4 linked regions of the Drosophila melanogaster genome follow. The protein of the gene in region 4 interacts with the protein of the main gene of each other region in a biochemical or structural test. Each region holds a gene or a part of one and is shown on either strand. Other genes may lie near its edges. The genes, in order: AGO2, RpL11, sau and Fmr1.

What was found.
Region 1: the proteins of Fmr1 (region 4) and AGO2 form a complex in vitro, tested with the Drosophila melanogaster proteins (one study listed by BioGRID).
Region 2: the proteins of Fmr1 (region 4) and RpL11 form a complex in vitro, tested with the Drosophila melanogaster proteins (one study listed by BioGRID).
Region 3: the proteins of Fmr1 (region 4) and sau form a complex in vitro, tested with the Drosophila melanogaster proteins (one study listed by BioGRID).

What each region holds. Positions count from the first base shown.
Region 1 is NT_037436.4:15,552,535-15,560,133, forward strand, and holds the start of AGO2 (argonaute 2), read left to right. Parts: upstream 1-1,578; 5' UTR 1,579-1,672; coding exon of another isoform or gene 1,673-1,688; 5' UTR 1,689-1,730; coding exon 1,731-1,938; intron 1,939-4,288; exon of another isoform or gene 4,289-4,315; coding exon 4,316-5,583; intron 5,584-5,715; coding exon 5,716-5,804; intron 5,805-5,859; coding exon 5,860-6,469; intron 6,470-6,565; coding exon 6,566-7,582; intron 7,583-7,599. UniProt on the Drosophila melanogaster protein: Essential for RNA interference (RNAi); double-stranded RNA induces potent and specific gene silencing.
Region 2 is NT_033778.4:19,440,604-19,444,329, reverse strand, and holds RpL11 (ribosomal protein L11), read right to left. Parts: upstream 1,989-3,726; 5' UTR 1,953-1,988; intron 1,888-1,952; 5' UTR 1,847-1,887; coding exon 1,841-1,846; intron 1,713-1,840; coding exon 1,590-1,712; intron 1,530-1,589; coding exon 1,232-1,529; intron 1,204-1,231; exon of another isoform or gene 1,074-1,203; intron 1,018-1,073; coding exon 890-1,017; 3' UTR 505-889; downstream 1-504. Other genes in the region: Arl6 (ADP ribosylation factor-like 6), read right to left, coding at 1-113; Spt5, read right to left, coding at 2,539-3,104, 3,163-3,726. UniProt on the Drosophila melanogaster protein: Component of the ribosome, a large ribonucleoprotein complex responsible for the synthesis of proteins in the cell.
Region 3 is NT_033779.5:2,224,359-2,231,640, reverse strand, and holds sau (sauron), read right to left. Parts: upstream 5,300-7,282; 5' UTR 4,573-5,299; coding exon 4,360-4,572; exon of another isoform or gene 4,336-4,359; intron 4,278-4,335; exon of another isoform or gene 4,037-4,277; intron 2,376-4,036; coding exon 2,248-2,375; intron 2,185-2,247; coding exon 2,066-2,184; intron 2,004-2,065; coding exon 1,828-2,003; intron 1,764-1,827; coding exon 1,515-1,763; 3' UTR 542-1,514; downstream 1-541. Other genes in the region: CG15387 (uncharacterized protein), read left to right, coding at 5,436-5,582, 5,640-5,843; papi, read right to left, coding at 6,401-6,897, 6,956-7,062, 7,115-7,282. UniProt on the Drosophila melanogaster protein: Phosphatidylinositol-4-phosphate-binding protein that links Golgi membranes to the cytoskeleton and may participate in the tensile force required for vesicle budding from the Golgi.
Region 4 is NT_033777.3:10,107,091-10,112,094, forward strand, and holds the start of Fmr1 (fragile X messenger ribonucleoprotein 1), read right to left. Parts: upstream 3,032-5,004; 5' UTR 2,726-3,031; intron 2,519-2,725; exon of another isoform or gene 2,434-2,518; intron 2,134-2,433; exon of another isoform or gene 1,982-2,133; 5' UTR 1,886-1,981; intron 1,822-1,885; 5' UTR 1,800-1,821; coding exon 1,605-1,799; intron 1,253-1,604; exon of another isoform or gene 1,140-1,252; intron 390-1,139; coding exon 340-389; intron 1-339. UniProt on the Drosophila melanogaster protein: Polyribosome-associated RNA-binding protein that plays a role in neuronal development and synaptic plasticity through the regulation of protein synthesis of mRNAs.

The sequences.
Region 1 (7,599 bases), on a different chromosome or scaffold from region 4:
CAAATTTCGCAGCAATTATTTTGTTTTTTATGTTTACAATTTGTGTTTTACGTTTTAGTGCAATTTTTTGGCATACATACATATTTATACAGATATTTTTGTATTCTTTTCGCAGCGTTCTAAATGAGTCATTCTAGTTTTTATTAGTTGAATTTATAAACACAAAATTACTTAACGGAAATTTCAAGCGTAACCCGTTGATTTCCTATCAACTCGATAATATGTATCTATAAAATATAATTTAGCTATTTCTACGTATGTCTGTGCATGTGTGTATAAATCAAGCGGGCGAAGTTGTGCAATTGTTAGAAAATTTTTAAAAGAAAGATATTTAGTAAAAATACGAAAATCAGAAATCGATGTTGAAAAACAAAACGCTCGTGCAATGACAAACAAAATTTTATTAATAAAGCGTTAAACAAACAAATTAAAGACAACATGAAATATACATTATGATATATTTATATATACAAGTATGAATAATGTACGACTATTTACTATTTTTTGGCTATAGCATTTTAAACGCATATATTGTATGTTTAACGTTGAAAATGGAAAAAACAAACAAAACAAGAAAATACATCAAAAAAAATTGTAAAACTTTTATGATTGGTTGCTGTAATTTGGCAAAAGTAAAAGTGCAATTCCAAATAAAATTCAAACAACCATACAAACAGCAGGAATCTGGGTCTTTTATTTATTTATTATCTATGGAAAAACAATACTTTTTCTGGAATGTAAAACTATTTTTCACTTAAAGGCGGAAAAATAAAAATAATGCTTTCTAGCAGTGGTGATTAAATTTATTGATTCTTACTGATGTCTTCTTCCAAAATAAAATTTAAAAAAAAAAACTAGTAAATTAAAATTTTTTTCCTATTTTAAACTTCCCCGATAATCAGATGCCAGTTACTCAACTATTGGAAATGCGAACGCAAATTAGATATTGGTGAATAAAATAAGAAAAAAAATTAAAATTGTTAAAAATTGTAAGCGTGGCTTTTCGGCGGTTTGTGGGAGTAATAGTAGTTTGGCAGATCAATAGAAATTTACAAGACTAATCAAAATATGAAAAATATCACATTTTGCATAACTGTGGGCGTGGCAATTTAAAGTTTTTTGGCAGATCGATGGAAATTTACAAGACTAATAAAAATATGAAAAATGTCAAAACATTTTGAAAATGTGCGTGGGAAGTTTTGGGGGCTTTCCGTAATCTCAATTTTCTAGCTTCTTATTCATCCTGAGATCTCGACGTTCGTACGGACTGACAGATGGACGGAAAGACGGACATGGCTAGATCGACTCGGCTATTGGTCCTTATATATATAATATATATAATATATTATAATATATATAATTTATTAGGTCGAAATCGGTTTCTTTTGCCGGATACATGCTTTTCAACGAATATAGCATACATTTGACTCAACAAGCAACATGTATACAAAACATGTATAAAAATATACAAATATAAATAGAGTCCCCACTTGAATGGCCCGCCTAGTCCGTATGTTCCTATCAATAATCGATAACAGAAAACACTTTAGCTGTGCCGCTCAATAACTTATCGCCCACCCCTAAGGCCTCCCATCACTAAAAAAGACTGTGACGCATTAAAAAATCGTCTATTAAAAGTCGTCAGTTAACTCGAAACCCTCAAAAGTAAATCATGGGAAAAAAAGATAGTGAGTTGTCCCACCTGCAGGACCATACAGCTATTCAAATATATGCACTTTCCAATTACCACCCCAGAGAACAAGAAAGGAGGACAGGATAGCGCTGCAGCACCACAGCCCCAGCAGCAGCAAAAGCAACAACAACAACGGCAGCAACAACCACAGCAGCTGCAACAACCACAGCAGCTGCAACAACCACAGCAGCTGCAACAACCACAGCAGCAGCAACAACAACAACCGCATCAGCAACAACAACAAAGTAAGTGCAAAGTGCGATATATCGGCGTAGGCAAAAAATAGATGTATGCATGCATGTACATACATATGTTTTGTACATATGGATTTACCATTTGCAATCAAATGCTCCATAAACTTTCGAAATGCCTGGGAATTCCCGAATTCGTGGCAGCCATGATGAAATTCAACTGCCATGGTTGTATAGAACCTATGTATGTGTGTATTATACTTAAAGGTGAATTCTACTGTATATAACAGTTATTGAATTTCCCCTTAACATAACTAAATTAAAATTCCTTTATATTTAAAAAAATGAATTTTGCTATGAAATGTAACAGTTGTGCTTTAGGCAGAAGCATCAAACAATTAAGAATTAAAATCTGCTCAAATCTGTAAATCTTAATCTTAATTTATACCAGATCCGACATTTTAACTCAATTATAAACTTATTAAAAATCTGAAAGATGAAGCGAAATTGAACATTTGACATCAATATATCTTTACATTTAAGGTTATGTACATACAGTTTGTCAAGAAACTGTTTACACACTGTGAAATAAGTTGAATTTTTGACTTTAAAGCTAAAAATAAAGGGTTTTTTGCTTAATTAAACGCAATTTTTTTATAAAATATAATTAAACAATATTTATTTTACTTATAAATAAAAAACAAATTAAAAATATTAAATATACAAGAAAATAAACAACAAATTCCAGGTTTACACACTTTTGAGACTGTCAAGAAACTCTTTACACATTTTGTTTTCCTACTTTGTTTTGTTCTTTTTCTTAGAACGAACTCGATTTTTCCGTTATTTTTGGCTTCGCATTGCTTTTTACAACGCTTCTATTGAAATTTGTTGACTTTGCTTGTGAAATTTTGCTGATCAAACGTGCTTAAAGCGAATTATTAAATTTAATAAAATGCCTGGAAAGAGATTAACTTTTGAAGTTACCCAATTAATAAACTATAACCACCAGTTGGGAAAATCTTTTCCAGAATTAGTATAAATGTTTCCTGTATCCCGTAAGACCGTCTACAATGTTTTAAAAGGCTCGGAAAAAGAGGGCAGGCTTGAACCTAAGAGTGGTGGTGGACGGAAAATTAAAATTAAAAAGCGTGTAGACCGCTTTATTATGCGAATAGTGATTGCGAACCCCCGAATCTCGGTCAGATCACTTGCTCTGGATATCAGGCAAGAATGCCACCTAACTGTGTCACACGAAACTGTGCGCCAAGTCATCCTACGCCATAGGTACTCTTCAAGATTTGCAAGGAAAAACCCTTTGCTATCAGATGCCAATATGGAAAAGCGTCATTAATTCGCTGTGAGCATGATGGATCATGCGGAAGAGTACTGGGATGACGTCATATTTTGTGACGAAACAAAAATGATGCTCTTTTATAACGACGGGCCAAGCAGAGTATGGCGCAAACCGTTGAGTGCGCTAGAAAAACAAAATATCATTCCAACGATAAAATTTGGAAAAATGTCACTGATGATGTGGGGCTGTATCACCAGCCGTGGAGTGGGAAAACTAGCCTTAATTGAGAGCACAATAAATGCCGTGCAATATCTAGAAATGTTAAAAAACAAATTTGAAGGCCAGTGTAGAAAAAATTAGTCTGGTTAGCAACAACAAGCCAAATTTTAAGTTTTACCAGGACATGATCAGAAACATAAAGAGTGCAATGTACGCACCTGGCGCCTTAATAACTGTGGTAAAGTGATCGATACGCCCCCTCAGAGTCCTGATCTGAACCCCATTGAAAATTTGTGGACCTACTTAAAGAAGAAGGTGGCAAAAAGGGACCTAAAACACAACAACAGCTTATGACTGTAATAGTCGAAGAGTGTGAAAAGATCCCGTTTGAATATGACCTGCAAAAACTTGTCCAATCCATGAAAAAAAGGCTTCAACTTGTAGCTAAAGCCAATGGGGAACATACTACATACCAAAACTTTTAAAATTTTAATAAAATAATTAAAAAATTTAGGATTAAACTTCGATTTAGTGTTTTGTGTAAAGAGTTTCTTGACAGTCTCAAAAGTGTGTAAACTTGGAATTTGTTGTTTATTTTCTTGTATATTTAATATTTTTAATTTGTTTTTTGATTTATAAGTAAAATTAATATTGTTTAATTATATTTTATAAAAAAATTGCGTTTAATTAAGCAAAAAACCCTTTATTTTTAGCTTTAAAATCAAAAATTCAACTTATTTCACAGTGTGTAAACAGTTTCTTGACAAACTGTATGTATTTTAAAGTGATACAAATTATTTTCGCGTTAGCAAATTCAAATCAGCCAAGTGAATACTTTTCGAAGAGTTTGCTTGCAGTTTTTTCGAAACCTAACACCTATTGTAATAAACATTCTTTGTCGATTTCTAAATCTAGGTTCGAGACAACAGCCATCCACAAGCTCAGGCGGATCCCGTGCATCTGGGTTCCAGCAAGGAGGCCAACAGCAAAAATCCCAAGACGCAGAAGGATGGACTGCACAGAAAAAACAAGGCAAACAGCAGGTACAAGGGTGGACTAAACAAGGTCAACAAGGTGGCCATCAGCAAGGACGACAAGGGCAAGACGGTGGCTACCAACAGCGTCCGCCTGGACAACAACAAGGTGGCCATCAGCAAGGACGACAAGGGCAAGAAGGTGGCTACCAACAGCGTCCGCCTGGACAACAACAAGGTGGCCATCAGCAAGGACGACAAGGGCAAGAAGGTGGCTACCAACAGCGTCCGTCTGGACAACAACAAGGTGGCCATCAGCAAGGACGACAAGGGCAAGAAGGTGGCTACCAACAGCGTCCGCCTGGACAACAACAAGGTGGCCATCAGCAAGGACGACAAGGGCAAGAAGGTGGCTACCAACAGCGTCCGTCTGGACAACAACAAGGTGGCCATCAGCAAGGACGACAAGGGCAAGAAGGTGGCTACCAACAGCGTCCGCCTGGACAACAACAAGGTGGCCATCAGCAAGGACGACAAGGGCAAGAAGGTGGCTACCAACAGCGTCCGCCTGGACAACAACAAGGTGGCCATGAGCAAGGACGACAAGGGCAAGAAGGTGGCTACCAACAGCGTCCGTCTGGACAACAACAAGGTGGCCATCAGCAAGGACGACAAGGGCAAGAAGGTGGCTACCAACAGCGTCCGTCTGGACAACAACAAGGTGGCCATCAGCAAGGACGACAAGGGCAAGAAGGTGGCTACCAACAGCGTCCGTCTGGACAACAACAAGGTGGCCATCAGCAAGGACGACAAGGGCAAGAAGGTGGCTACCAACAGCGTCCGCCTGGACAACAACCAAACCAAACCCAGAGCCAAGGCCAATACCAATCTCGTGGACCACCTCAGCAACAGCAGGCTGCCCCATTACCATTACCGCCTCAGCCAGCCGGGAGCATTAAGCGCGGAACAATCGGCAAACCCGGGCAAGTAGGCATCAACTATCTGGACCTTGACCTGTCCAAAATGCCTTCTGTGGCATACCACTATGACGTGAAGATCATGCCAGAGCGTCCCAAAAAGTTTTACAGACAGGCATTTGAACAATTTCGGGTGGACCAATTGGGCGGAGCAGTTCTTGCCTATGATGGCAAAGCCTCTTGCTACTCGGTGGATAAGCTGCCGTTAAATAGCCAAAATCCGGAAGTGACTGTAAGTTGCAAGAAATTGTCTACTAAGTTATGAACAACTGGGAGTAATAACATTTTTAAATGTATACAGTGGCAGTTAAATTTAATTTAATCTATACGATATTTTAGTTGTTTTTATTTCTTATTATTTTAGGTGACAGATCGTAATGGTCGTACTTTGCGCTACACGATCGAAATCAAGGAGACTGGTGACTCGACCATTGACCTTAAATCGTTAACTACGTAAATATAAATTATGTTTTTTATGGATACTCCTATTGAACGCGCTCCTCTGCAGTTATATGAATGACCGAATTTTCGACAAGCCCATGCGAGCAATGCAGTGCGTGGAGGTTGTTTTGGCTTCACCCTGCCACAACAAAGCCATCCGTGTCGGTCGTTCCTTCTTTAAGATGTCCGATCCTAATAATCGTCACGAACTGGATGATGGATACGAGGCCCTGGTCGGTCTGTATCAGGCATTTATGCTGGGCGATAGGCCATTTTTAAATGTAGATATATCGCACAAATCCTTTCCGATTTCAATGCCGATGATCGAATATTTGGAGCGATTTAGCTTAAAGGCTAAAATCAACAATACAACGAATTTAGATTATTCGCGACGCTTCCTTGAGCCATTCCTCAGAGGCATTAATGTGGTTTACACGCCTCCTCAGTCGTTTCAAAGCGCTCCAAGGGTATACCGTGTAAATGGTCTTTCTCGTGCCCCGGCCAGCAGTGAGACCTTCGAACACGATGGGAAGAAGGTCACCATTGCGTCCTACTTCCACAGTCGCAACTACCCATTGAAGTTTCCCCAACTCCATTGTCTGAACGTTGGATCTTCAATCAAGAGTATTCTGCTGCCCATCGAGCTATGCAGCATCGAGGAAGGTCAGGCCCTAAACGTGAGTTCACTAAATTCCTTTATATCTATATCTTGGTGTTCAATACCGTAAGCTATATTGTCATTACATATACCTATAAACATATGTATTTCACAGCGCAAGGATGGAGCAACTCAGGTGGCCAATATGATAAAGTACGCAGCCACATCGACGAACGTGCGAAAGCGCAAGATTATGAACTTGCTGCAATACTTCCAGCACAACCTGGATCCGACCATCAGTCGCTTTGGCATCCGCATTGCCAACGATTTTATTGTGGTAAGCACCCGCGTCCTAAGCCCACCTCAGGTTGAATATCATAGTAAGAGGTTTACTATGGTGAAGAACGGGTCGTGGCGCATGGATGGCATGAAGTTTCTGGAGCCCAAGCCCAAGGCGCACAAGTGTGCGGTCTTGTATTGCGATCCGAGGAGTGGTCGCAAAATGAACTATACCCAGCTGAATGACTTCGGGAACCTAATAATATCCCAAGGCAAGGCAGTCAACATAAGCTTGGATTCTGATGTGACATACAGACCGTTCACGGATGACGAACGCAGCCTAGACACTATTTTCGCGGATCTGAAGCGCAGCCAGCACGATCTGGCAATTGTGATTATTCCTCAGTTTAGAATTTCTTACGATACAATTAAGCAGAAGGCCGAGCTGCAGCATGGAATTTTGACGCAATGCATTAAGCAGTTCACCGTGGAACGAAAGTGTAATAATCAGACGATTGGAAATATTCTACTTAAGATCAACTCCAAGCTGAACGGCATCAACCACAAGATCAAGGATGATCCTCGTCTGCCGATGATGAAGAACACCATGTACATTGGAGCCGATGTGACCCATCCCTCTCCCGATCAGCGCGAGATTCCCAGTGTGGTCGGAGTAGCAGCCTCACACGATCCCTACGGAGCCAGTTATAACATGCAATATCGTTTGCAGCGAGGGGCTCTGGAGGAGATTGAGGACATGTTCTCGATTACTTTGGAGCACTTGCGCGTGTATAAAGAGTACCGTAACGCCTATCCTGATCATATCATCTACTACCGAGATGGCGTGAGCGACGGCCAGTTTCCGAAAATCAAAAACGAGGAACTGAGGTGTATTAAACAAGCCTGTGACAAGGTAAGTTTTTGAATTTC
Region 2 (3,726 bases), on a different chromosome or scaffold from region 4:
TTGAAATGATTAATTATCGAGGACTTTCCGCTGTTGTTCAGTCCCAGCACCAGAATCGTCATCTTATCCTTTTTAATCTTTATCAAATCGGCCAAATTGTGCAACATTCCCATTTTACTGGCGGACGGGCATCAATTTTATTTTGTTTACGGCGATTTTCCTGACATGTTTGGCCCTGCAAAGGACTTTCAATTGCCATGGCAACCCGCTTGGTGTTGGCATCGATTTATTGAAACTTATGGCCACCTTCAACTTTGGCTGCCGCATCCGATTTGTTCGCCCCCACGAATTTTCAAGTTCACCTAAGGCGTGACTTTGAGTATTGGGTTCGATTACAACAGTAGGGGAAGAGGTCACCCATCATGCCCAAGATGGAATTGTTTTGGCCATATGTACACCTACACTGAACTGAATGATTTGGCTTTAGGATTTCATAAAATAAATCATGGAACTCAGTTTAGCAATTAAATCTACAACTTGTAGCAAAATCAAGAATTTGTTCCTTTTGTTACAAAAGTTTTTTCATTTTGGCATTTTGATATTTACAATTGATTTCTATAATAGTACAAGAAATTGCTTTAAAATTGATCAATTGAACAGTAAACTTTAAAATCTTGAATGCCTCTAGCTGATATCCAAATGTTTTCGTCCAGACACTACAATATGCTGCAGTTGTATCCATTAACAAGACGTTGGTCTCCATAGAACCTAAAACCGGATATGAAATCCTAGCAATGATTTCTTGCCAAATAACTTCAATCACGATCCACTTAGTTGAAACTATTGTCGATAAATAATGTTGATCAGAACTACGGGTTTTACGTGTTGACACAAGCCAAGGTTTATTGTAGAATTCTTCTTAAAAAACATGGTTACTGATAGAGCTCCTCTACTTCTTGGTGTTCAAGATGATACCATCGTATTTCTGCTGGAACCACTTCATGGCATCCTCCTTGGTGAGGCGGTGCTGGAAGCCGACAGTGCCGGACTTGCGCTTCCTGTGGTTCACATTGTAGCCTGCAAGATAAACCAGAGTAGCAGATAAGTAATCAACGTTTTGGCAATCCATGAGACGCTGTCGAAATTGTACCGTGTGGCCACGCATGGAATGTAGCAAGTCCAACTAAGCACATCTTCTTTGCTATGCGCACATTCACTGAGCATCAGAGCCTCGATTGGCAGAGATACCTAATTAAGTGCACGATTCGAAACGTAGGAGACAGATGCTTACCAGGGCGGCCGAGGACGACGTAGAAGTCCAGACCATAGATACCGATGGAGGGATCGTACTTGATGCCCAGATCGATGTGTTCCTGGATGCCGAAACCGAAGTTGCCGGTGGAGGAGAAGTTCTCCCGACGCAGCTCGTACTCGCGCACCTTCAGGCCACGCTCCAGAATCTCCTCAGCCTTGGCGCCGCGCACCGTGCAGTGGACAGCGATCTTCTCGTTACGGCGAATACCGAACGAACGGACCGTGTAGCGGGCCTTGGAGAACACTGGCTGCTGACCAGTCAGCTGCTCCAGCACCTGTTGGCATTCTCTAGTTAGCCAGTGATCATGGTTATGCTGCATCTAGGTATATCTTACCTTGGCGGCACGGGTCAGCCTGTCACCGGACTCGCCCACGCAGATGTTCAGGCAGAGTTTGCGGATGTGCAGATCCCTCATCGGGTTCTTCGCGGGATCGCGCTTAATCTTCTTGGTAACCGCCTGAAAAACAACCAAGGAAACTCGTCACTTCTTGTGCTGCCATCGTAAACACACAGCGTACAAATTTTGCATGACAAAAATATTGTTGAAAATATGTCGATGCGTGCAGCAATTGTGGTTGAACCTACCGCCATTGTGGTATGTAGGAGTGAAAGCTGCTCACAGGTATCCCTCGCTACAAATAAACGATTTAAAAGTGGTTAAATAAAAATATCGGCAAAAAAAACGCGGAGCACTCACCGGAAACTTGTAAGAAAAGAAGGAAAGGATAGTGTGGCCGCGCTGAGGCGCACAAATGGACCTAAAAAACGCACGACACGTGCTGTTGTCGTGCTGTTATCCAACTATCGTGCTGTTGTGCGCACGTCGTTCCATCACTAACGGTTAACAGGGCTAACGGTAAATAAATGGGGTATTCCTTAAAATGTTAACCACTGAAATTGGTTTATTCAATTATTTTAAATGCTGAACAGCAAATATGGCCGATAATTGTGATTATTTGATTGCACGGATGTTTAAATTACTTTGAGGTAGCTTGATTTGATATTTGTTTACTTGGCGTTATTCGCATGTAACGAAAAATCCTTTTAGAATAAAAATTTATTTGAAATACGGCCCGCTTAATTAACTTCATTTCGCATTAAACACATCGTTTAAGTAATGCGCCAAAATTAATAAAAAAAGGCACTTCCAGTGATATCAATTGAAAAACTCGAAGTAAACGTCCATAATAGTTTATTTGAATTATTAATTTTAGCAATAATGTGTATTCCATTGAAGAAGTCCGTCAACTTTAAAGTGTGTAGCATCAATTCGTATGTAGAGCTTAGTCGATGGACTTCATCTTGCAGAGGAAGTTAATCGGTAGCAGCTTGATTTCCTCGTTAATCCTGCAGACGAACACATCGCCATCCTTGGACAGCACTCTGCCCACGGACTCGCGGTCATCGCCGTAGATGATCTTGAATTCGTCGCCATTGCATGGTAGCACTGGCGCCAAGTGCTCACTAACGATGGACACACTGCGATCCTCCTGGCGCAGGAATACGGAGCAGACGCCGTTCGAAACGGTGCGAATGATGCCCGTTTGCCCAACGAGATCGGTGTCGTCGTGCGTGTGAATCCGAACTTCAATGTCTGTGGTACACCAGTCGCCCATCGACGAGTCCAGACTGGCTCCAGGGGTCTGCGGATTGTACGGCGACTGCGGTATGCCACCAGGAGTATTCGGTGAATAAGTCGATGGCGACGGAGTGTTCATGTAACCAACGGGATACGGCGACGGAGCAGGACTGGGGCTGGGATTGAATGGACTGTAGCTTCTGTCCGATCCATACAGAGTGCCAGGAGTTTGCGGGGCAAACTGGGAAGTCATTTGATAGCCAGGGGTACCTTTAAGATTCGATGGAGTTACAATATGTCAAGAACAATGCGCAACCAAAGTACTTACTTGGATTGTATCCAGGGCTGGGACTGGGCTCCTCAAGGGAGTAATCGAAATCGTTGTTCCTGGCCGGCGTTGTGTTTGCCGTGGGATCCCAAGCGCCATGACGTGGTGTCATGCTGCCATCGTGCGATGGTGTCATTGTACCATAAGGAGTACGAGTATCCGTATCCCAGTTGGGCGTCTGGCTTCCCACCAACGGAGTTTTCGATCCGGCAGCGGTATAACTGGGAGTCTGGGCACCGTAGCCGGGAGTGCGAGCTGGGGTGCGTCCATATGTGGAGACACTGCCCTCTTTACCGGTAACTCCCACAATGGCAATGTGATTCCGGTCTACCGAAATCGTCTGGCATGAGGTATGCAGTTCCACACGAGCCGTGCTCTCGGTGGCATCCTTCACAATTCCCACGGCGCCCTTATAAGGTCCTCCACTAATCTTAATGGTTTTACCCAAGATCTCACGGTCACGGGTCACTCGGAAACCACCTCGTCCACCACGGGCGCCACCACGAGCTCCACGACCACCGGATGGATGCATGGGCGATTGAATGCGCGGCGACATAAATCCTA
Region 3 (7,282 bases), on a different chromosome or scaffold from region 4:
CATGAATATGTTTAATTGTAATTACAAATTACTTGCAAATTTTCCACAGTTGAAAACTGCTAGTTGATTTAACGGATAGTATAAGAGCACTTCTTTGTTCACATCCTTTTTGGCCTAATGTATTTTTGCAATAATTTGTGCGCTGCGCCCTGCTTTTTATCATACTTTATGTCATTGAAAGATTATTATATTATAACCTAAATGTTTCGTGTGAGAATTACTCGACTTATATGGTATATTGCCCCTTCAACTATCGAAAGAAATGCAAACACTGCAAAACAAAAACACATTTATTGAGAATGAAAAACGGAATAAAAACTGTATTAAAAAGCGAATCAAAAATTGGGCTATGCTTTCAAGTAGATAAGTTAAATCGGATTGGTCGTCACACCGGAAAGAATCCTATTTCTCCTCCGACGATTGTCCACTTTTGCTTTCCCCCTTTTATTAAAACTCATCACCCATTTTTCATTAAATGTTTTATATTTTTCCTCTGATTTATGGAGGGGTACAACCGAAATTGCAATAAACTTTCAATTTTGCGTCAGTTATATATTTTATATTTGTATTTTATTAGGCCTTTAAATATCTAAGAATTAGTATTATTTGACGTGCACAGTTTACATTTACATAATTTTTCTTTTCTTGCTGTCCACTTCTTGTCGTTCTTTATTTTTCTTTTAGCAGTTAGAAAAGGTTTTTCAACTTCAATGTTCCCGAAATTCAATAACAATTTAAATTAAAACATTGCCTAGATTGAATGTCGCTCCGTGTCAAATTGTCTGCATGTCTGTCTGTTCATGTGGGTGGGTGCATACTTAAGGTCGAACGTACTAAGGTAAAATTGCGGAGCTCGAGAAACGTTTTGAACTGATTTTCTACGCGCAATCGAATACATGGAAAGGGCTCGAAAATACTTGACAATCAAAAATAGAATTGAAAAGTTTTGATAAAATATATATAGGATATTTGACAATAGACAATCGCACGCAGCTTGCCCAGACTTTATCAAAGTTTTCTTGTTGGCGCTTACAATTAGTGCTAGATATATAATTACAAAAACAATGCTGCAGCTTTAAATTTTCCATCATACATTTTGATTTGCATTGCCAGAGAAATCATCAACTAAACTCTATGTGTCGTGGAACACAACTTACTGATTATGATTGCAAAACATTGGCATGTATTATTATGCTCAACAGAACAGGAAAAAATTAAAGGACAATGGAGCGTTTGATTGGTATTATTGAAGTGTTGATAAACATATGTATATTTAAATAGGAATTATGGCTGCTTTATAGTCTCGCTTAAAAAATATATATTACTGAAACAGATATTTGGGGTGGTTGCCATTTAAGAAAATCCTATCGCCCGATTCGGTTCCACTCACAGCAAAGTTTCTAAAACAAAAGCAGCAAAATGTATTCCAGATGTGGGTCTGTATTTCTGTGTTGGGGTGTGTGTTGTGTGTGTGTGTGTGCTATTGAGAGGAGCGTAGAGGATCAGAGGATCGTCTATTTCGTGAACGCCATGAACACCGCCCACAGAATTTCGTTCGCATTCGGCTTGGCCGACTCGGCTTCGAAGTCGAGATCCAGCAGCTCCCGCACCCGCTTCATGGCCACCTCATAGTCGTCATCATTCAGCGGCGCGAAGGCGTTCTCGATCACATCGCTGGCGTGCGCCAGGAAGATAAGCGCCAGCATCCGCTTGTCCATGCGCTGTGGATCGTTGACCCACTTGGAGAGCACAGAATCTTGGATCTGAAGTCATACATTTCGGATTCAGTTTTAGAATTCTTGAATATATCCAAGTCTAGTTACGCACCTTCTTCACCAGGCGACATTTGACAACATTGTCGCTCAGCGGATGTGTCGTCATATCGAAGAGTAGAAAATTTTGCTTTTCCGTCGTGAGCACACCCTTCTCCACCAGATTTTTGGCCAGACGTTCGCGTACATTTTTCAGTTGGTAGCGCAATTTCAACGGATTCCAGGTTTCACCTGCCACAACAATAGGTTATACAAAACATACTTGGCGAAATGGCAGGCGCCTAAATACACACCACTAAGATATTCAATCCAGCTCTGCACCGTCTCCGGGGGATCTGTTTCCTTAATGTGTTTAAGTGCCTCATCGAGTAGAACGTCTCCCGTCTGCTGATCCGATTTCAGTATTAATTTCCTGTTGGCGAATTGAAGTTAGCATGCTTCTGAAAGGATGTGGAAACTAGATTTCTATACATACCTTGTACATAGACCACGTCGCCGCATTCCAGATTTCTCGATCATCACGCGACCTCGCAGTCCAAGCTCTATGAGAATGCATCCGCGCAAGCCGCTTGATATGCAGTCGTTCCAGAAAGATGTGTAGCCCTGAAAGTAATTAAAAATGCTATTAGATTCAAGCTATTTGATTGGCCTGGATGGGCATCTAAAAATAAGAATGTGTGAATGCGTTACTTGTTTATTTTTTAAAATTTTATTAAATTCTATCTAACATAAATGTAAGTACAAACTTCATTAACAAATGGTTACTGTCTCATGTTTCAAGGTTTTGAAATATATTTGAGCAAGTCTATGGTTTGGCCTTTTCACTTGTGTTGGGCGTAAAAGAAATGAATAATTACCCTGTTGCCGGGGTCGTAAAGCTCCCAGACGAAAGTATTCAGTTGTTAAAACATTAAACACTTGAGTTTGTTTAGGCCTTGCCCACAGAAGTGTATGAACTGTCAATTTAAAAAATACAATGCTTATCTAGCTAGTATAAATGAAAAAACGAACAAGAAGAGTTATGTTATAACCACATAAAAAATCAATTACAAAAATTACTCTTGTTATTAACGCTTGAAAAGCTATGATAATTGGAAGGTATAGATAGATACCTCAACCACGTTTCAATGCCATTTCACGATTTTAAAATAATTTATATAACAATCGCTCAGATGATTGATAAGGAATCGTTCCGAACGAAAGGTATAAAAGTGAATCATTTGCAAAGAACACGTCGCTTATCAGTTCGGCAGTTCGAGATATTGAAATTTTCCTAATGGATGGTGTGGGTAGAAGCCAAGTACTTTGTATAATTTCGAAAATGAGTGACGTACTGACATAAGAAAAGCCCGAAACGGATGAGAGCTAGGCAGAGGAGAGCAGCACTTGATAGTATGTACTTCCTCAAACAATTAACCAAATGGACAAAATCTTCGCGATAAGAGCGCTCGGAAGGGGAATGTAAAACAAAAGCGGGCAACACGTCCCACTGTTTCCAGCTCGTATCCCTCTTATGCGAAGGGAGAGGAGGTGGCAGGGATGGAGGTGTGGGTGGTCACACAAATACACTGCGGGCAAAATGATGAAAACAAATAGACGTGGTGCCAGCCACAAAGGCACATGTGTGCATTCCTATGTGGTACAAGCGAACAGCAATTGAGCGATAAAGCTGTGTGCCAAGTGAAATATAAAAACCGAATTCAATGGAGAAATGCGAATCTGCCTGTTCGCCATAATGGGTCACGTATGGATGATGGTTCGCATTTACGGACATCATCCCGCGCTATACGTAGATTTATGAATATTACAAACCTATGCAAATTAACCACTTATTGGAAAACTCGTTTGACGAAACCGTTCTCCGTGCTGCGCGGAGTGAAGTTCTCGAAGAGATATGTATGTATTTATAGCCACAACTGCCAACCGAAGAAGTATTAGAGCGCTATCTTTCCAACAACTAAGAACGTTGGCAACAATTCTAAGAATCTTTTTGATTTGGCACTGGAAGCAATTGCGCGATAGTGTAACACATAAAATAAACCTATTATATACTATATATAAATATATCATCACTTATTTGGGAAGTACATCAAAGTATTACAAAGGGCAAGTAATGGGTTCTATAGATTAGAATGAACGGCTGATTAGACCTTAACAGATGGAGCACACTATTAATTAATGCAAAAACAAAAGTGGTTAAGAAAATGGTGTTGGCAGTCTCACTGATTGCGCATTAGTCAGCAGGCTGGTCAAAAGATTTCATAGTGCATTGCTTAACAAACTGGAAAAGCTAAGAGAAGTGGCTAAGACATGGCATAAAATGTTTATCTGTAGGACAGATAAACATTGTTGCCCCCATAACTGAAGTGATAAGTTACCCCCCTGTATCCAATTTTCACTACGCCCCTGCTGGAAGATGGACTGCGTTGCACTTGGGGCCAAGCAAGAGGTTGCGAAAGAGAGAAATCGTGAGAGCGACAGAGAGAGAGAGACGTCGGTTAACAGGTGAAGAAGAAGCACTTATGTTGCGAAAGAAACCAATTAATTAGTGCATCCCAAGCAGATAAGAGATAAGGAGCACACCCACCTCCTTGTCCTTGAGTCCCAGCAGCAGAACCTCCTCCATGAGCGTTAGTCGTGTTTCCTTGGAGTCGCCATCGTCGATATTGTCCTCCTGGTCCTTTAGGTTGTCCAGTGCATCCTGGTTGTCGTCCGGCGTGTTGGCATTCAACCCACCCTCCGCCCCACCGTTTTCGCGGGGTTTCACCGAGCGACGCACCAATCCGTCGGAGCGATTCATTCCGGAGAGTTGGGTTGGGTAGTCGGGAAGTTCGGATCGATGGAGTTTTGGAGATGTGGGATGCGAGCGGAGCACCTATGTTTTTCTGCTGCTGCTCTTCTTCCTCTTTCCTCGTTTTGTGTGTGTGGCACAATTTGCTGACTCGACGTTGGGAGTTTCACAGTGTGTGTGTGTGTCTGTTTGCGCGAGTGCGGGTGTTTGCGTTTTTCTCTGTGTACTTGTGTCTTGTGTTTTTGTGTGTTGTTGTTTTCACTGACTCTTTTGCGCCCCCTTTATTTTGTATTCTTTTGCACACACGCACTTTTCACACTATCGCAAAAATGCAGGCCCTAAACTGCGTTTCGTTGTTGCTGCTTTGCTCGGCGTTTTTGCGCTGGGAACTCGACGGTTTGATTTACAATTTGGTGGCCCGTACTAATGGTGCATTTGCATTGGCCTTGCATTTACTGGGAATATGCGAGTGCCTGCGCGAAATAAGCTTTTTCCTATTATTTGTGTCTTTTGTCGACGTTCCGACGTGACATGATTTCCGCACTTTTCAGTACTGGCAATTTTCCAGACCTTAAGTGTTGGATAACGTTTTGCTTCTAGAGGTGCTGTTAAAACGAAATTAATTTAACTTTTACTCTTAATTTTTTGTAATTCAGCTTAATTTATTTAATCGTAAAGTTTTTGTTTGAATGATATTACAGTTCCTTGTCCATACTAAGGGTTTGGTAATGTTATGAATCCGAACCGATAGTTTGTCCGATAGTTGTAATCGCTGTATGACTCATCTCTAACGGAAACACAAAATAAAACCTACTACAATTTGTTGCATTTTGCCTAAATTCGTCACAAACACTGCCGTTAAAACGTTTATAATGTCCTACTTGACCAATTTCAACAGTGATACTGCCAAGCAAATTCTTATGGACATAATACGCTGTGTAAATCAGCCGGAAAACTCGAAGAAACTCTCAGAGGCAAAGGCTTCCGCTGGAAAAGAGATGATTCTCATGATGCAGCACGTAAATACCAAGCAAATCAAAACAAATAACCAAATAGTTTAACATAATACATTGCAGGTTTTTCCATTGGTGATGCAACTCCAACTGGAGGTCATTAAGGGTCATGGGTTTCCTGGAAACCGCGAGGGATTAGTCCAGTTCTCCCAGCTCATCAGAGAAATGGAAAGGGACGACATGGAAATCGTACGCCTGCGCAGTCAGATCCGCGCCATATACCTGCCCCCCATAGCTATAAACACCACCAACGACATCCTAATCTAAGCGTGGGGTAAATCCCCCAAACAAGACTGCAATTCTGCCCCCCGGTGGGTTTTTTAATATACTTTAAGCGACTTTTAATATTTGTAGCCCTTTTCATTTGAAGAAACTATATTCATTTTCAATTATGCCTTAACGTCATCTAGAAAATCTTATTTTCAAAGAATATTGAAATACTTCTCTAATACAGATTTCTGAAACAGGCCACCAAAATAGACTTAAGCTTGATATTCTTATAAAATGCATTTCTTTTGATAAGTTTGTGATCTTTTTTGTGTATTTTTTGTTGATGTACAAATGTTTTTCTTGTTCTTGCTAACAATAAGTAACATGGCAAAGGTTGCTATAAACAATTAAGGATCTGTGCCGTTCCATCGTCAGCTTTTAGGATCTAGGATATGTCGATCAGTCACGGCGATAAATTAAACAGTTTTCTTTCGTACCTATACAATAAGTTCCTTAAGAGCTATACTTTTATGTACACGTCAAGTAGTGAGCTGCTCGTCCAGCCTTCATCTTATAAACAATTAGGCGAGGATAATTAGTAACAATGTGAAATCCTAATGCGCGCTAGCACCATTTGTGGTGCTGGCATTATTGTTATTCCCGTTTTCGAGGTCTGTAGCCGTCAGTTTAGCCGGATTAATGTTTTTTATGTCGTTTCCGTTCAGTTTATGCTGCAAATGCTGCAGCTGCTGGGCGAGGTGCTCGTTCTCCGCCTGCGTAATGCTGTCAACATCAATGGACATCGACATAGGTGAGTGGGGCGTAAGCGGAGTCACTGGATTGCTGACGCACAACTCCTCAATGGTGGAGTCGCTGTTACTTGAGGGCGTCGAGGAGCGTGACCGCACTGGATACGAATCGTCCAGGGGCAGAGCAAAGCCCTGGGTGATCATCAGATCGGCAATATTTAGTTCAGAGTTGTCGGCTGGATCGAATAGTTCCACTCCGGGCAGCGGGGTTCCCTCCTTGGCAGCAGCACTTACAGCGGTGGTTGCCCGTGGACGCTCCTTGTAGGTCACCACTCGAGCAATCAGCTTTCTCCAATGTGCCACTACAAATGTTCGGTGTTTAGTCAAAAATATATCTAGCAACTGTTGCTGAAATCATACCCTCTGTCAGCTCTTCGAACTTTGCGATTGAAGACTTTGGCCACGTAATAGGCTCCGTCTGGATGGTAGATTTTACATTGGCCAAGAAGCATTCAACGGCTTGGAACCTAAAATAGTGAAATATAAATTTATGTCTATCCAATCAGTCGAACTGCTTACCTGAGCGTGAGGAAATCAGTGCGCAGCTCGCAGATATCAGCTGGCGAAATATATTCGCTATCTCCATAGTCCACGAAGTAGAGATCGATCACCTGCTCCTTTGGATTGTACTGGTTAGGCATAATGTCCACGATTTCTGCGCGATACCACTTCTCGTCGAACTTAAAC
Region 4 (5,004 bases):
AGCAGTTTTATTTGATTTGGCTCATTTTTTTTTTCTTTTTTATCAACTAATAGCAACAGAAACTGCTGCAGCGGCGTCTGGCGTTTAACAAATTGCGCCAAATTAGTGAGTCCGCAGTAGGGGATTCGGCGGGAAGTGGTTTGGCGGATGGCGGACGACACAAATGATGCGTGCCCAGAATCTCTAATTTCTAATTCGGATGCCAAGAAGTCGCGTCGGTGGTTGTTGCTGCTCCTGCTGCAGCTCTGATTGTATTAATCGTTGCAAATTAGTTAGAAAATACGCTCTAGTTGTTGTTGTTTGCCCTGTTCGCAGATTTGTTTGTTTAAACAAACTTACCCGTCCACATCCACAAAGATGCCATCATCGGCGACAGCTGTCACCTGGCCCTGTTGTTGTTGTTGTCGTCGTCGTCGTAGTTTTTAGTTTGCAGTTGTAGTTTTTTGTTGGCGGCAGGCAGGCAGCAAACGGATGAAATACAAGAGCATTGACAGGGCCAGCATCGGAAGGCATAGGAGTAGAGAGAGAAAAATGTGTGTCATTAATGTGGCCATTGCCTATGATATACCTCCATTCGGATGTGTGTATATGCATAAGTATATAAAATATATTTTTACGATAGTCCCCCCAATCCCGTCCCATTGTGAAATCGAGAATTGCAATGGCATTAGCGAGGGAAACCGTATATCTCCGATAAGCGAGTAGTCGTAGAACCTTATCCGAAATGCAAACAGCCGACAGCTGAATCATCAGCATCAGGGAAGTCGCTCTAGTCGAGTGTGTTTATGTGCATTGCCCTTGTTTTGATTCCAAGCACTGAAATCAAAGGCAACGCTATGCAAAGTATTCACTACCTTACTATACATATCCAGAAGGTTTCCAGAATAGGTTAGCTAATGATGGGGATAAGTACTAAGAACAATAATTGAAAGTATAAGAATATTCTTAAGTGCACTGTTATCTGGTTTCCAAAATGTCTATATTATCATTGGAAAATTTAAGCCTATAAGCATACATTTTTGCTGAATTTGTTTAAACAGTGAACAATAAAACACATCAAAAGCTAGCATTATGAATGGGATTTAAGACTGAACTTCGTTCATAAGACTAATGATTCGAGATCTAACAACCTCGTATACCTGTAATCTATCCGCGAAAATCACTTAACCGCGATATAAGATGGTTTAATCGGATCTTATCTTTATAAATTGCAACGACAAGAAAGGGAAATCATCAAAACAACAAAACCGAATGCACGACGACGTCAGTGGGCAGCGCAGTGGGCGGCGCGGTCCGCGTCGACATCGACATCGACGTCGACGTCGGCACCCCCACAACGCAGTGTGCGTGAGTGCGTTGGTGTATGCAGATTGGCGATGGTGCTGGTATTAGTGTAGTAGTGGTAGTGGTAGTGGTGGTGGTGGTGGCGATGATGTCGAGACTCCACTCAAAATGTTGCTGTTTATTAATAGAAATAAAGCTAAAATCCACGAAATTAGAAACTGAGGCAGCTGCTGCCCCAACTCCTTGCTCCTCTGTTTTTCCTTCTTTTTTTTTGTCACCCCCTTACCAACATTTTTATTCCACCAATTGAATCAACTCACCTTGTAGTAGGCGCCATTGTCGAGCCGAACTTCCACGAGGAGATCTTCCATATCGCCAGACGTAGTGCCTCCTGGTTTATCCGCTTTGTTTTGGTTCTGGTTCTGGTGGTTCTTCGCCGTCCGTCCCTGTCCCTCCTGCTGCTGATGCTGATGCTGCCCAGCCTTCAACTCCCGACTTTTCCCCGTCGACTGCAGTTTGCCGCGTTATCTGGGGCTCCTGAGGGGGAAGAATGGAGATATTAGGGCTATAGATATAGCTAGGTATGGGTGGGTATGCTCACAATTCAGTGTGCAGTGGCAGAAACCTCGCGTTCCTGCTTCTAGTTCCTTGTACTCAAATCAGTCTTTTGCTTGGCGGCTGCTGCTTCAAATGTTGCCTGTAATCAATAATAATATGGAATGGTTTTGTTTTTGGTATTTTTGAATTTTTGTATCTGGAGAGGGAGACTATATATTGACACACTAATAAAAAAAATAGTTGAAGAAAATTTTGAAGTTATTTTGGGGGCCAGATAATTCCTAGCTAAACACTAAATGCAGCTGGCGGCGAAGCCGGCAGCGACGTCGGCTTTGCCGGCAGCGCAGCAGCGCAGTGCTTCCTCTTCTTCTTTGTCTCTCTCCCTTTGTGTGTGTGAGCCCGCCGCCTCACACACACATGACCACCACCAAGCGTGTGCGCTCTCGCTCTCTTTTTCTCTCTCTCTCGCCGCCGAAATGCTTCGTTCGTTCGTTCACACCGATGAACACGCTTTTCCAATAAGAATTTGTACGCACACTACGAACGGCACATGCCGAATTTACATATCGAATTTACACATAATTTCCACACTTGCTTTCGATTTTCGCTTTTCTCAAAGAGAAGAAACATCAGCGTTGCGTAGCCGCTCGCCGTTTTTCTCGTTCTCGTTCTCTACTTTTCTTTTTGTATTTTATCGGTTTTCCTCTTTCAGCTGCTCCCTTTTGCTGCCGCTGCCGGCAGAGAGGCGGCGTCGCTGCTGTCGTCGACGTCGCAGCCGCCGACGATGTGCAAAATTTTTTGGTTTTTTTCGGTTCTTGCAAAATTTTTTCAACACTTTTTGCGGCTGTAATACACAAGAGACTGCAAATTTTTGAAAACTTACTGCTGGCCGGCACTTTTGCACTTCGTTTGCCCTCGGCGGATGCCTGTGAATGCGGCTTTAACCTTTGAAAATACAAAATATATCGCGTGCAGTGCTGCTTCAATTTTTTTCGGCTGCGCTGCGTTCTCTTCGTTTTGCTTTTGCACACTTTCGCAGCTCGGCAACGTTCTACTGGAGTTGCCACCCGTTTACAATCGGCGCGCGTTACTGGCCACTTCGGATGGTTTTGGCTAGATTTCGGGCGTGTTTGGCCCAAGCGATAAATTTGTGAAAATAAGATACGAAATTTTTGATAAATGATTTGTGCTCTATAACACAGGGCTTGTTTGAAAGCGAGAGAAAAATGATCTGACAGTAAAGTGGCAAGGCTGCTAAGTGACAGCTCACCGGGCCTTGCCAGAGTGACTATAAGTTGTGGGTTCACAATAAACAGGGTTGTATTTTAAGCGCGCTAGGCGGTTACGATTCGAAATTCAAAAAGCTGATAAGATCATTTAAAATTTAAATGAAGTCGACGAACCGAACACTATTGACTGCTCACTTAGTTTGCTGTCTGCTAACAACGTAATTGAATTGCTAGCCCATCAGCAGATTGATTCGCATGTTTGGTGGCTTTTCAATTGATTCGATTCGATTTTAATTTGCAGAACTGCTGACCACTACGCCTTAATGTTAATGTAATTGTCTATGTAATTGCAACGACTGCTGGGGTCAACAGTGGGCGCAATTTGCCACATGCGGTGTTTTATTTGCCCCTTTGATTGCCCCCAAATCGCGTGACGTCGCTGGCGCTTTTTGTCAACACGCTTGTTGAATTTGCTTTTTACTATTTTTTTTTTCTTATTTTGCCCTTCCATTCATGAAACGCATTTGATTATGAGTGGCCGATAAAGGTGCAGTGCGGTCTATTTGTAATCCAATTTCCATCAATTTTCAGCGGATCGGACAGCAGAAATCTGACGGAGTACTCCATTTAGGATGAAACCACATATTTGCTTGGAACTACTTAATAAGATTTATGAATTATATTTGTGAACTTTACTCTTGATTAATAAGTGGGCAAGTCTAAAAGCTCGCCTGTATTTAAATCGCATGCCATTTAGGCATTTGTGTGGTGAAAATGGGCCAACAAATTATAAAAATTCATGGCCAGTCAGTTAATGGGAACCATTAAATCCTTTATATGCCTGTGAATAGTTGGAAATTCTGTGTCTCTGTGCAAAGGCAATACCCTCTACTCGCCATTTTCGCATTTCCCAGCCTATTTGCAGGCAGATTCCGTTAAAATCCCATAACAATTTTCCATACAGGGTATCAAGATTCGCAATTCGATAGTCATAAATTACCGCTCGTGTTGACGGTAATTACTGTCAAGCGGCGATTTGTTGCGGAAATGCAGTTTCTGATTTGATTTTCCCGCGCCCTTGCCCACCAGTTAACCACCCCTATTTCAACCGCTTTTCCACTGCCGAGGAAAATGAGAGCAGCTGCCGTTTGACATTGACTTTTGTTCTACCTTTTGGCACATTAACTGCACTTTAATGACGTCGACATGGCCAACAAAAGAGCGAAAGTTCAGCGACGACAGCCCCTCCTCCTCTCGCATCTAGCCATCTCGCTCGCACCCCAGAATTTGTCCCGCTCAATTAGCATTATGTTCGTTTCGCGATCGGATTTGAAACGATTCGGTTCGGGTGCAATTGCAGTGCAACAATTGGTCACTTCGGGCACTAAATTAATTTAAATTCTAATTTTAACCGCGTGGAGGGATCAAGTGAAATTTATTTGCCAAAATGTGACAATCTCGATCGTGACAGGTACGTCACTTCCTCTCGACGTAAAATACACTGCGAGGAATATTCGGGCAAGTAAATTTTTCAATAATAAATAAGATAATACATTCCTTATAAAAGGTGTTCACTGCATTTGTAATTATAGTAACATAAAGAATTCGCGCATAAGTGTGAATATTAATAGAAATAAAATTCAATAAGTTTAGTCATTCTCAAATTGCTGGAGCAAATTCTGAGCAACAATACCCTTAATACGAAAGTTAAATTTATTTTTTCTTTTGTTTAATGGTTAAAAAAGATGAGATCATCCTTCTAAAAAACCAGGTAGTATCATTCCCTTGCTAATTATTTCTAAGTCCAAGTGCAAAAACAGTGTATATTTTAATACCTTTAAATAGCAGAATAAACATATCATAACTAATAACTGCCTCGTGTTAAATATGAAAAATTGGGGTAATAAAATTTCATTTATATTAATTTTATAAT